3 linked regions of the Danio rerio genome follow. The protein of the gene in region 3 binds, or shares a complex with, the protein of the main gene of each other region. Links are inferred from orthologs where the notes say so. Each region holds a gene or a part of one and is shown on either strand. Other genes may lie near its edges.

The links. The genes of interacting proteins can lie anywhere in the genome.
Region 1: the proteins of mapk10 (region 3) and sh3bp5a are in contact, whole or in part, in a crystal structure (PDB 4H3B), measured with the Homo sapiens proteins. The link is inferred for Danio rerio from reciprocal best matches to the Homo sapiens genes MAPK10 and SH3BP5. Residues at the interface, in NP_620448.1 of Homo sapiens: Lys121, Asp150, Ala151, Gln155, Val156, Met159, Leu161, Glu164, Arg165, Tyr168, Tyr171, Val197, Lys198, Ser199, Asp200, Cys201, Trp362, Asp364, Glu367; in NP_004835.2 of Homo sapiens: Val341, Val342, Arg343, Pro344, Gly345, Ser346, Leu347, Asp348, Leu349, Pro350.
Region 2: the proteins of mapk10 (region 3) and mapk8ip1a are in contact, whole or in part, in a crystal structure (PDB 3PTG), measured with the Homo sapiens proteins. The link is inferred for Danio rerio from reciprocal best matches to the Homo sapiens genes MAPK10 and MAPK8IP1. Residues at the interface, in NP_620448.1 of Homo sapiens: Asp150, Ala151, Gln155, Val156, Met159, Leu161, Glu164, Arg165, Tyr168, Leu169, Tyr171, Val197, Lys198, Ser199, Asp200, Cys201, Trp362, Asp364, Glu367; in NP_005447.1 of Homo sapiens: Pro158, Lys159, Arg160, Pro161, Thr162, Thr163, Leu164, Asn165, Leu166.

What each region holds. Positions count from the first base shown.
Region 1 is NC_133194.1:2,323,492-2,328,356, forward strand, and holds the start of sh3bp5a (SH3 domain-binding protein 5), read left to right. Parts: upstream 1-1,671; 5' UTR 1,672-1,961; coding exon 1,962-2,042; exon of another isoform or gene 2,043-4,077; coding exon 4,078-4,140; exon of another isoform or gene 4,141-4,411; intron 4,412-4,865. UniProt on the Homo sapiens protein: Functions as a guanine nucleotide exchange factor (GEF) with specificity for RAB11A and RAB25. Inhibits the auto- and transphosphorylation activity of BTK. Plays a negative regulatory role in BTK-related cytoplasmic signaling in B-cells.
Region 2 is NC_133200.1:14,770,307-14,775,015, reverse strand, and holds the start of mapk8ip1a (C-Jun-amino-terminal kinase-interacting protein 1a), read left to right. Parts: upstream 1-1,515; 5' UTR 1,516-1,710; intron 1,711-4,709. UniProt on the Homo sapiens protein: The JNK-interacting protein (JIP) group of scaffold proteins selectively mediates JNK signaling by aggregating specific components of the MAPK cascade to form a functional JNK signaling module. Required for JNK activation in response to excitotoxic stress.
Region 3 is NC_133196.1:10,935,700-10,940,351, forward strand, and holds the start of mapk10 (mitogen-activated protein kinase 10), read left to right. Parts: upstream 1-1,474; 5' UTR 1,475-1,684; coding exon of another isoform or gene 1,685-1,687; intron 1,688-4,652. UniProt on the Homo sapiens protein: Serine/threonine-protein kinase involved in various processes such as neuronal proliferation, differentiation, migration and programmed cell death.

The DNA.
Region 1 (4,865 bases), on a different chromosome or scaffold from region 3:
CTACTGCGTCGCCAAACAAATATGTATATATATACTGTGTTAAAATAGTTGGGTCAAAATACCATATAATCCATAGGTTATTATAGCACCTTACCAATTATGGGTTATTTTAACCCAGTGCATTGGGTTGCATAATTTAATTCAATGCAATGGGTTATTTTGATTAAATGTTATTGTTTTCCATTCTGGTATTACTGTTGTTAGTACTACTATTAGTTTAATAATTATGGCTGTGTAAATAAATAACATACTTTTAAAAAAAATTTGAAAACGCTTTATTTACTTTTAGTTCCAGAAACTTTTGTTAAAATAATTAGGAATCACAAACAATGAAGAAACAGAACAAAGAAGACAGATATAAACTGTGCAGGCAGAAAATCCTGTGTTGATGGAGCAGAATATGGAGCTCTGTGTGCTGTAGAGGCTGTCCAGCAGCTGCAGCAGGCTTTACTCAGTGTCCACAATGTACAATACATTTTAACCACAAACAAACACTTATAAAAGATGGTCTTGGTGAAACGGATAAAAAAAAAAAACACGACACGAAGAGGTAATTTGATTAAAAAAAAAACATTATTGAGTTACAGCTTAAATGAACTTTATAAAGAAAAAACAACATTACGCACACATATTAATACAGCTGTTTTGTGTCAGTTACATCGGTTCACTGTTGAAACTCAAATATTTAACCCAACTGGTTGAGTTATTAAATAAATAACCAAATAAAGGTTAAAAATAACCCAACAAAGCACCAAATATTTAACCCAACTGGTTGAGTAATTAATATATAAACTAATAAAGGTTAAAAATAACCCAACAAAGCACCAAATATTTAACCCAACCATTGGGTAAAATAAATAACTCATTGTTTTTTAGTGTATATATGTAAAACAGTTAACAGATAATATCTAAAAATATATGTTAAACCATTTTAATTATAATATATACAATCAATAATTTATGAATTCAGTCTAATTACATTACTGACCTCAAAACATAATCATGAAATTATTCAAATATCGCAGGTTGATTTTTGTTGTTGATGGGATTATTCGTCTACAAGGAGCTGCACATGCATGATGTCGAATGTTCTCCACCAGAGAGCGCCATTTCCCAATGTTTCTCAAAGCAGTGGAAACACTTTTACAGACGTTTATTAGAACATTCGGGAATTTACATTTTGCTTAAACTCTAAGTAATTCTAAATTGTTTTAACCAACATAAGGTTGAAATATGGATAATCCGATTTTTGTTACGGCTATTCATGCTGTCTCAACATAAATCAGTTAAGTTATTGTTACAAAAGTGGACTAAACTTTAAAAAAAAATTAAGTTTCTCGCAAAAATCGCCAAAATTGCGTTTAGCTTGTTTTAAATATGAAGTCTGAACATGCAAAAATAAAAAATACAAATAAAAAAATTGAGTGTGCGGGCAAATTAACTTTTCTAGTCATCTCAACTTACACCAACTGACAACAAATAATAAGTTAAACTTTGAGTAAAATAGTTGAAACTTGATTAGCCTATTAAAATAAATTAAAGCATCATTCAAGTATGTATTGCAATATTTTTTGTTACATTTTTACACTAATACTAACTAAAAAACGCAGATAAAGCAGTTATTTCCCGTGTTTCTCTCTCTCTGTGTGCGTGTGTGTGTGTGTGTGAACTGTAGTGACCCTCCTCTTGAGCACAGCAGCGGGTGTTTGTGCCGGAGGAGGCGGGCAGGATCTCGGCAGATCTCATTCTCCTTCTGCCGGTGTTTTCTACGGGTGTGTGTGTGTTGGTATAAGCACGATATCTTTCATATCTAATGTGAGGGATCGATTTAGTCTCTTTTAATCGCGTTTTCTGGCTGTCTAATGGAGTGACCGCAGATGCGCGGATCTGGAACCCGTTATCCCGGACAGAGACACGCTTTGTTCAGCCGGTAAAGAAAAACAATCACGTCTACAAGCAAAATGAACGAGCCGGAGAAAGAGAACAAATCTGATGAAGACTCGGAGTCTCTGGAGGAAGAAGAGGTCGACCCGAGGATTCAGGTATGAGATGGAAATCAATGCGAGAATTCACAACGACAAAAAGGCTTAAAGCGGATTAAAACGAAAGCTGAGGGGATTCCTACAGGCTCTATCATAGTAAATATGTGGAATTGTCTAACTTATTCTTATTTAACCTTGACAAAACCTGAACTGAAGTTAAATTGCACGGGCTTTTAAACGTATAGCTGCAAAACTCGAGCATATTTTGTCGTGTAATATACGATTCCAGCCCTATGCTTGTTCAGATTGTCATAAAAACCAGCTGGTGTTTGATTTGATGAGGGGAACCCCAAATCGTTACATCATCTCTTATTTTATGTTACATTGTTTCATTGTTGCATTGACAATCTGATACATGTTTACTTTGACGTCATATTTAGAACTCAGTTTCCTCTGGTAAAGAAACAATTGATCTCACGTGCACTGCATGCAGGATTCAGTGTCGTTTCTGAAGGGCAAGTTGGTCTTATACTCGCACATTCAGACTTTTACTTCTTAAAATCATTTCATAAAAGTATTATTTACGAATTCTATATAGAGAAATCATGTTAGCAGTTTAGGACTAATCAGTTAATAAAATAGTAATGTTGTCTTAAAGTCATAATAGGCAAGGCAAGGCAAGTTTATTTATATAGCACATTTCATACACAGTGGCAATTCAAAGTGCTTTACATAAACAGGAATAAAAAAGACAAGTTTAGGAACATAAAATGCAGACAATAAAAATTATTAAAAACATATAAAAACAAATTAAAATGAGTTAAAATAGGTTATAAAAGAATGAAAAAGAAAACGAAAAACATAATAGTGCGATCTGTCGGATCATAATGCCATTTCAAACTGATTATTCAAAATAAACTACACAGGGCCGTAGCTAGCCTGGTGAAAATGGTGTTTTTTTTCTCAATAAGTGGACCTTTTTGCAGTTATTCACCTCATTTTCTATTTAATCATGAGGTTTAAATACTGCATTTAGGTGACATTAAGCACACATTTTAGCTGAATTAGCTTGTCAGGTTAGGGTTAGGGTCATAACTACACTTTTTGCTGTATCAAACATATTTCTTATATCATTAGAATAAAAAAAAAATGACAAATATTAATCATATATCTTTACAAAAAAGTTTTAAATTGAAAACTGTAGCTTATTGTGTCATTTATAAGATGAATAACAAACTGGCCAGCACATTCAACTTTCCTCAGTCACAATTTGTCCATTTGAATAATAAAAAAAATAAAACATAATAGGCGATGCGGTGGCACAGTAGGTAGTGCTGCCGCCTCACAGCAAGAAGGTCGCTGGTTCGAACCTCGGCTGGGACCGCTGCCATTTCTGTGTGGAGTTTGCATGTTCTCCCCATGTTGGTGCTCCGGTTTCCCCCACAGTCCAAACACATGCGCTTTAGGGGAATTGAATGAAGTAAACTGGCCGTAGTGTATGAGTGTGTATGGATATTTCCCAGTACTGGGTTGCGGCTGGAAGGGCATTCGCTGTTTAAAGCATATGCTGGAATAGTTGGCGGTTCATTCCGCTGTGGCGACCCCTGATGACTAAAGGGACTAAGCCGAAGGAAAATGAATGAATGATAATGGTTCTACTGTATGGCATCACTGTGAAAACTCTTTTAGTTCTCATATAGAATTAAGAGCTTAAAGTCTGTCCTGATACTTTATCTTCTTCTTCTTGAGTGCTTGTTTTATCATTCAAAAGATCTTTTTGTAACATCTTTTGCTTTAAAAGTGCACGTGAAGAACGTCCTTTACAATAAAAGAAGGCATTTCTCTTGATACGAGAGCACTGCAAAGAGCCTTGTGCTGAAGACTGTGCTAGTTGAACTGGTTTTTCATCCTCCACCCATGTAGGAAAACAAACGCATGATCTGCAAATGAAAACAACATCTGTGTGTCATCAGCGTGAAGCTAACATCAGCGCGCATTTCAGCTTCACTTTAGCATTGGGTTACATCAATAACACTTTCCAGATGTTGTTCCACTGACATCTAACTGCAATCTCCACTGCTTTATCTCTGCACAGGGAGAGCTGGAGAAACTGAACCAGTCCACGGATAACATCAACCAATGGGAGACAGAACTGGAGGTGAGCTTTCCACAGGCTTGCTTTGAGCTCTTGCTTGTTTCTGCTGAAAATGTTTGCAGGCGGAATTTCACAGTGGAACCAGTCTAAGAGCTCAGCTCCGCCCTCCATTCCACCACCTACCAATAGGAAGTTCCCTGTATGTGACTGACAGGTCTATATCTGTAGAGCAAACAGGGGAAATCTGGAATTCCTGCCCTGAAAGCCACAACTGCTTAAGAAGTCGTTTAGGAAAATGCTTGTCATTCCAATCCCTGGAGACTCTGCGTCTTCACTGGAATACAAACAAGGAGTAAATTGCCAGTGGTTATACTGGCACAAGAAATGTCCATTTCCTTGATTTGTTTCAGCTAATTTATAATATCCTTTAAAAGATTTTGCATATGCATCCTTACAAAAATATGTAGTTCTGTGGTAACTGATTACAGCATGGTATCCCAAAGTATTTCAATATAATTTAATAGTAATACCATGACCAAAATAAAAGAAGAGAAATATTATTTTATTGTTGACGCCTGTGTAGTAATATATGCCTTATATCAGGGTTATTGTTCTAACATTAAATGTTTTTTGAAATAAAACAAAACTAAAACTCACGCTGAAAAATAGTCATATATATACATATGTTTCCCAGAGATGGGTTGCGGCTGGAAGGGCATCCGCTTCATAAAAACATGCTGGATAAGTTGGTGGTTCATTCTTCTGTGGCGACCCCGGATTAATAAAGG
Region 2 (4,709 bases), on a different chromosome or scaffold from region 3:
TTGATGTTAATAGATACAGTAATACAGTTTTTCAATAAATGCTAGGTAAAATGTCATTGTGCTTAAGCAAGTCAAAGCAGTGTTTTTAAAAGAATACTTTTGTTTTTGGTCCTGCTTTCTTGCAGCAGAATTCTATGTTCATTTTTCATATGTATTCTTTGTGTGTTATCATATAGTTCTTGTGTGTTTATAAACTATTTCAATAAGAATATATTATATTGTTGTGTGTATGTATTTACACACACACACACACACACACACACACACACACACACACACACACACACACATATATATATATAATTATATATATATATATATATAATTATATATATATATATATATATATATATATATATATATATATATATATATATATATATATATATATATATATATATATATATATATATAATTTTTTGTTGTTAGATAAACGTAGCTTTAATCAAGGAATGAATTTCAATTAAAAATTGGGCAAATGAGGGAGAGGATTATATATATATATATATATATATATATATATATATATATATATATATATATATATATATATATATATATATATATATATATATAAATTCATTATTTTTTCTTCTTGTGACTACAAATAATAGGTTTCAATTTAAAGGTTTGTTTTGTTGATTGTGATTTATTCAAATATAGATCTGACCAAAACTTTTGTGAGATTTTACAAATAAAAAACATGCGAGTCAAAGTTTGCTAATTTTCCTGACAGAAAGAACAAGTAATTGCAATGTCAGTAAATTTTGAGATAAATGCATTGACCTGGTATGTTTTGTGTAGAATTTTAAAATGGATTTCCTTTGCTTTGTTTGGGATTACATATTTATATCGGGGAAGCCATGTTCCTTTCCAAGCAATATCTTATAATAATGCTGACCAATATGATTTCCCTCTTGGATTAAGTCTATAAATATGCATTCATACAATTATTTTTAAGTTTTTATTCATTATCGTGTTATTGTTATGTTATACATACGACTAAAAACCGGCTCTAAATGACCGCTTGAAAAAAGTGACGTTAGTCATTTACAGGCTAAAAAATGCGTTTTACTCAAGCATTTAGGGAAAAGGAGGGTTTTGTGTTTGCACAGTGGTCCTAAAGTTATAATTAGTCAATTGTGTGTGATTGTCTAGTGATAGTCTCGTGGAAGTATGACCGTGACGTAGTGTGTGTTGGCGCTCTTCAGGTTGACTCATGATATCAGTCTGGATGAATATGAGGATGATGATCTGTCTGAAGTGACTGAAATCACGGATGAAAACGGAATTACACTCGGCCATCTCGACCTCGACACTCAAGTAAGTCAAATACAAAAAATGACGAATCTGTTATATAAAGACAGTGAGGTAAACTTTATACAACAAAACGATAGGCCTAATATTTATGTATTATTTAATTAAGGTTTTATTTGGATACTTATGCAATATGTTTGCCTTTTTGTGTTGAGTAAATTTAATTAAATATATTTATAGCCTAACATTATATCTTTTTTTTCTGCTATCTGTTAATTACTTTTTCTTTATCCTGGAGTTTTCAGTTGCTGTAGTAACGGCTATTGTAGTAGGTAACGTTAGTATTATTACAAATTAGATAAGTTATGTTTAATGACAAATATGTCAATATTGACCTGACAAAACTTGCTCTGAGTTTAATAGGCTAACTTTGAAAAGTTTTAATGAAATAAGGTCAGTACATTAAAGTTTTATCTTTTTAGAATTCTCTAGTTAGCACATGGCTATCGTAGGCCAATTGATTAAGTTGCTGACATGTTTTGTAGCGTTAAAGGTAGTTAACATGTTTAGCCTTTTGCTAACATGAATTCACGTTAAAATGTTTTGACATGTTTTTTGACATGTTTTACGTGATACCAAGGTATTCAGTAGTGTTAGCACATTAGCAGCATGATTAAACGTTGCTAGTATGTTTTAATGTGAAAGTATGCGGTTTTGTACAGTGTTTCAACACCTTTCAAACATGCAGACATTTTTAACATTTTGCTAGCTTGAATTGCTATCATTGTGTTAACTAGCATGTTATAACTTCAAAACTGTGCTAACATAAAATATTGTTGATAATATTAACTTTTTAACATAACAATTGTAAGCATGTTACGACAGAATGTTTTATATTACGTTAACATGTTGATACTTCATTTAGCACAATGTTACCAATAATATTTTATTAACATCTTAACATCTTTTAAAATGTGTTTTAAAATGGCCTCTTAGATGTTTTTCCCTGACATTTATGCTTATTTCAACTACTTATTACATAGTATTAGCCAACATGTATTTAGCATGTTTTGCTTTAGCAGGTTTTAATGTATTTCACATGTTGAGATGTCATATCAAGCCAACATAATTATTCCCATTCTGATTCAGTGTTTTGGTCTTTAGTCTGGTTTGTAGTGTCAGGCTTACCATGATTTCGGGAAGTGTGCCAAAGTACCACCTGTACAAGCCTATAAGAGTTAATCAACATCTGCTCTGGTCCTGTAGCTTATCTCCAATAGGCTGATGAACTCATGGCTCACTGCATTATCTGACCGAGCGCTTCAGGAGTCAGAACCTATTTAGATTTATTGCTACTTTTGATTCATACTCTAACAGTTGAAGTCAGAATTTTTAGCCCCCTTTGAATTTTTTTATTTATTTTTTTTATATATTTTCCAAATGATGTTTAACAGAGCAAGGAATTTTTCACAGTATGTCTGATAATATTTTTCTTCTGGAGAAAGTCTTATTTGTTTTATTTTGGCTAGAAAATTTCAAAAAAATTTAAAACCATTTAAGGGTCAAAATTATTAGCCTCTTTAAGCTTTATTTTTCGATAATCTACAGAACAAACAATCGTTATACAATAACTTGCCTAAATACCCTAATCTGCCTAGCTAACCTTATTAACCTAGTTAAGCTTTTAAATGTCACTTTGAGCTGTATAGAAGTAAAATAAATCAGTTATTTATTAGAAATGAGTTATTAAAACTATTATGTTTAGAAATGTGCTGAAAAAATCTCGGGAATCAGAGAAAAAAAAAACAAGGGGGCTAAAAATTCAGGAGGGCTAATAATTCTGACTTTATCTGTACATTTTAAATAAGTTATACTTCAGTAGCATTCAAGGTCATTTCTGGGTCAGGATTTTGAAAAAAAAAAAAAATTTTGATTAAAATTTATTTTATTCGGCAGGGATGCATTACATTTATAAAAAGTAATTTTGTGTAAAGCGCTATATACTGTAAATGTAAGGAATTATTATTATAGTTATTATTATTGTGTATTCGCACATTGCGATATCGATGCTGAAACTATATATTGTGCAGCCCTAACATAGTCCATAATAATTTTAATATAGAATGTAAATGAATTTGTTATTTGATTTATTTGGTTATCAAAATGTCAATTTTGCAATAGCTTTTAAGTTACATAAAAGAACAGCTTGAACATTCTGCAAAATATCTTCTTTTGTGTTATATCAAAAACAAAGTCATCCAAGTTTAAAACGACATGACGATGAGTCAGTAACTAAGTCACTTTAGCAATGAAATCCCTTTTATGACATTTCTATCGTTCCCCGTGAATTAAACGTTATTAAAACACAAAGGGATATCAGTAAACAACATGCGTATGGTTAGACTACATTGATCACAGTTATCTTAATTCAGAAACAGCAGTACATCAGTAGTAAATTGTGTATGTGTGGTTTACATCTCTCCACCCAAAAACCAACACAGTCACTTATCTTTCCATGAGGCAGAGTCATACGCTCTCGGACTGAATGAAGCTAGCTGTTTACCCCACAGCAAAAATAGATTTCTAGGTCAAAGACACATCATTAGCTTCCATGTACTGCGGTCTGAATATGTGTAGAGATTATTTCCGAATTTGTATGAATTTGAATGAGCATGAGGTCACCGGAGGCTTTCCGTGTTCAGTGTCAATTAGCATAGCAGTCAATTAGCATGAGGCGTTAACAACACTGAGGGGGATGTCAAGGCTGGCCACATCTGACTGTTTCTCATGTATGTCATTGTCTAACCAATTAAACTGAAAGAAAAAGCCATTATTTATGGCTGCGCTTCCTTTTTTATGAAGCAATTATCATTATAACGTTTGTGCTATGATTTAACATAATTAAGCATAAAAAGCCAGTAACATCTGACTATTTTTAGAAGGCATCATCTTAAAAAAATGAGTAAAATATGTATGTTTTCACAACTATTTATGCAATAATTAGCATAATTACGTTTATGCTAAGATAGTTTAGCTTAATTGAATATAAATTCTCTCAATCAAAACCATTCACATCTAACTGTTTATCGTGTATTTCAGCCACTGAAACATAAATACTTTATATAAGTAATTCACAATCTTTTCATGCAGTGATTAACATTATTATCATCAACATTTACGCAAAAATTTGGCATTATTAGCTTATACGTAAATGTTCTGTCAAATCTAGTCACATCTGACTGTTTTTAATGTATGTTATCCTCTAAAAAAAGATATCAGATGTTTATGATATCACAACCTTTTTATGCATTAATTAGCATAATTACGTTTATGCTAAGATAGCTAGGTAGTTTAGCTTAATTGAATATATATACAGTAGAAGTCAGAATTATTTGCCTCCTTTGAATTTATTTTCTTTTTTAAATATTTTCCAAATGTTTAACAGAGCAAGG
Region 3 (4,652 bases):
TGCAAACTATGGGTGCAGTGTTTTGTGTCACTTACAAGGCAGTACTCAATTCGCGAGTGAATCGCGACTGAATCGTTCATTTGAACCGATTCTTTTAATTTAAAGGAAGATTATACAGGAAAGAACTTTAAGGTAGGAATGAATTAAAAGTAATAAAGGTACAACATTATGGACGTTTTTGTCATCTCTAATTCGAGCATGCTTGAAAATAATTTGGATTTAATGATTAATATTTCCAGTTTAATAACCATCTGTAATAATGCACACAAGTATGCATATATTTCAGCAAAGATTAAAAGAATCGCATATGCATTCATTTACTATTTAAATGACAAATGTTAAATGATTTGGAGTAATGTAATGTTTTAGAAGCTCAAAATCGAAGCATAAAACATTTGTGCAGTTTGTTGCAAAATGGACTGCACTGAAGAAAAGAGTAAACCAATTAAAGCAAAATAAAATTGACTGAACTGGACAAAGAGTTCCTATATCAAAGACAAATAATGTCAAATAAGAAATTTAAAAAGCCCCTCAGGCTTTCCTTGCCTATTTTTATTTATTTATTTATTTATTTATTTATTTATTTATTTATTTATTTATTTATTTATTCATTCATTCATTCATTCATTCATTCATTCATTTAGTTATTTTTTTGAAGGTGGAAATCTGACATATGTTTCTTTGTTGCTTTAATAATCTGTGCATTTAGTTTAATGCAATGGCACATTGTGACTCTAAAACACATCTCTGTTAAAATGAGCCAATTACTGCAGGCTTTGGCAAAGTCCAAGGTACTGCTGTATGGACGTTGTCAGTTTTTCTAATTCGAGCATGCTCGAAAATAGTTTGGATTAAATGGTTATATTTACAGTATAATAACCATAACATATGAGTATGTTAGCCTACTTTCCATTGATTTATAACTGCTGCATACAATTGAACTCTAATTTTTGTCTTTTTTTCGTGTGTTTCTCTGTTTGTTCATTTATTTAAAAGTGCAATGTGTGCCAGAGCAAAAAAAACTAAAATTTGACCAAAATTAATCGTTTGAGAATATCATACTGTTTAATTCACTCGTTCTGATCTTGCTTTTACAATTTTCACAATTTTAAGCATATCCAGATAACAACACGCTAGATTCGATTTTAGTTATACTTTTTAATAGCCGCCCCCTAAGTCTCCTGTGAGGCGATTCATTCTAACTGATTCTTCGAACGAACCGATCGCTTCAAAAGAATCGCCTCGCTCTGTCTCTCTGCCCGCCTCCAAACACGCAGTCGGCGGTCATGTGCGCAAAGATCCGCCAATCTCCAGATGCGCGATCAGAGCGCCGCTCCTTTCCATCTCCTCCTCACTCCTATGAGACCGCTCTCGTCTTTGACGTCATCGTGTGCTCCCTCCCGTTGCCAGGCAACCCGTCTCCCGCACCCCCCACTCTCTCCTCCTCCTCCTCCCGTTTTGCCATCACTACGCTGGTAGGATCCATAATGGTACAGGCATCATCCTGCAGCACAATGGTGAGCGCGCAGTGATTCAGCATCGCAAACTCAGGCTTTAATCCAGCGTTAGACTTTCTTTTCATCTGTTTGATACAGTGGTTTTTAAAAGATTCGCCTGCCGGGATGTTTTGAACAGGACTGGACTGTCACCGGACCGGGATCATCGGACGGGCAGCTGGCACGGAATGGTAGGTCGGTCGGTCGGTGGGGAGATGTTGATGCGGGAACCTGAAGGGTGGGGTGATGAATATTGATCGAAATGAAGGTTAATGAAGTCGATGCTTTCGCGGCTTAGCCAAATAAATGATCCGTCACGAAGGTCGAACGATGTCCGAAATGGCAGGATTTCTCCGGTGTTTACCAGATCTGAGCGAGTGCGAGCGCACGTCCATCCGTGTTTTTCCTGCATCACTCGCGGTCCTGCATCATCATATGTCCTGTTTTCAGGGACCGCAGGCCTTTGTTAGAATATGGATTGATGGAATCTGGAGTCACAACAATGACGTGATTACGCAAAAGTCGATTCATTTACATGCGTTTCGGATGTTTGATTCCAATATTATATCATGTTGCATTTCAAAAAATGCAGAATTGCTAGTAAAATACTTTATATGGTATATTTTCACAATATGTCTCGCATTTGATGTTTTTAAGATGACTGAAGTGTATAGGTGCTGGAGTCTGAGATGGGCCATATGGTAATTTGTTTATTTATTTATTTAGTTCACGTTGGAAGCCTGAATAACAGGAAGCAGGGTTAAAACACACCTCATTTTGACACAGTTTGATCAAATTTGAAGTTTATTCCCAATTATGGTTGGATAACCACTATTTAGGAACAACAATTAAATATTAAATGCATGAAATGAAACATTAAAACATGTTTAGATGTTTTTAGATGTGTGATGCATGATGGAGCATTTTTTATAATAAATATTTTTGGTTTCCATTTTGAGATATCAAGAAATATTGAGTGAACATCACAGGATGTAATGATTTTTATGCACTCTAGTGCATAATGTTTCATAAGACTGCATGGAATAATAACTTCAAAATTTATTAAAATTCCAAAAGGGCATTTATATAAATGTTTTGATGCAGAAGTGGCTATGTTTGTTTATACATTACATTACATTAATATATTGACTTGAAGTTATTTATATTATGTATTGTGAGCTGAAATAAAATACATTTGCCTTTTTGAAAATTTCGTAAGATACAATATGACATTTTATTCTCAATGAAGCAATATTGGAATTAATAGGATATTAATAATCATATTTATTTTCAATCAATAGTTCTAGCATTTGATGCTTTATGCTGCAATTGATGCATATTTGAGTTCATGCTGGGGTCTAAGATGTTGAATATTTATTTTATCTTATTTTATATTTTTAGGAAGGCTACCATAGAGGTGTAAATCTATTAAAGTGTCATAAAGCAGTAAACATTTTACATATGAAGAGTTTAGATGCAAAAACCTCTAAGTGCCGTCTGAAATTTCCATTGAAAATAAACATTTTTCTCAGCTTCCTTTGTTAATGTTGAGTTAGTTCTCTTCAAAGACCATAAAAGAGAATTATTCTTTGCCATAAAAGTGATACTACTAAACATACACACAGGAGCCTGATAAAAATCATTTTAGAGGAAAATTTCAGACGGCATTTAGAGGTTTTTGCTACTAAACTCTTCATTTTATCAACTGAGTGCTTCACACTATGGAACAATCTTTCCATTTGGTATTTTGGACTATTTCGGTTTCCACTTTATGCGTTATATGTTATGCTTTTTATTAAACTATGTGGAATAATTCAAAAGTGCATGTACTGTACATGTATTTTTACTTTTTTACTCTGTGCCAAATATATATTATATATATATTTTTATATATTTGGTACAGAGTAAAAGTGGCTATGCATTAATTTACTGATTAAATGACAAAAGCAAAATGATTTGGAGCAATGTACTGTTTAATAAGTTTAAAAAAGAAGCATAAAACATTTGTGCAGTTTGTTGCAAAACCGATTGCATTTGTGAGAACAGTAAACTAATTAAAGCAAAAGGAATACACAAAGAGTTCCATTATCAAAGATTCATGTCAGATCTATAAAAAAAGCCACTCAGGCTTTCCTTGCCTATTTTTTAAAGCTGGAAATTTGACATATGCTGAAATATTTCTTGGTGCTTTAATAATCTGTGCTTTTGTTTTAATGCAATGGCACATTGTGGTATCCTCTGTTAAAATGAGCCAATTACTGCAGGCTTTGGCAAAGCGCTATGCATATTCTAAGGGACGGCCATGGACTAATCATCCGTAGCCCCCCCAAAAAACAACCCCATATGGCTAATTAGGCTGTTCCATTGTGTCTGTATATTGTTAAATCCCACAACACTGGGTACCCTGGTTATATTCGCCTCACGCTTCAGTGTCAGAGGTTGCGGCGATCATCTGAACTCTCGTATTCTCCAGGTACGCTGACATTTTGATTAGGATTAAGAGAGTGATTTTGTGAGGGAACTGCTGAAGGACAAAGCCTTGAGAAGCCGGTATTTTGTCTCCATGTGGCTTGAACGGTTCAGCAAACAATTCTTCTCTGTCAATGTTTTTTCAAGGACTTGACTCTTTTACCTCAATAGTTTATTGTAATGAATAGTATCTTGACCAATGTAGTCCACTACATTACTGTTATCTATATTTATTAGCTGGCTTGTTTGCTTAGTAAGTTATTCATATTGGATCAGTATCCTTCTCTCTATTTGCCCAGCCCCATTTAAAATATGTGTCTTAGGCCAGTGTTTCCCAACCCTGTTCCTGAAGGCACACCAGCATTAAACATTTTCAACCTCTTCCTAATCAAGCACACCCAAATCAACTCACCAGAACATTAAAAGAGACTCTGAAACCGGAAATCCAGGTCTCCAGGAACATGGTTGGGAAACATTTTCGCAAAATGTAAAATACGTTGCTCTGGTTACGTTTCATTGTACGTTTCAAACTACAAATTCACTAGAGGGCACTGTTTACATTTTCATAAATCTGAAAAAACATTACTTAGGGCAGGGGTGTCCAAGCTCTGTCCTGGAGGGCTGGTGTCCTTCAGATTTTAGCTTCAACTTGCCTCAACACACCTGCAAGGGTGTTTCTAGAAAGCC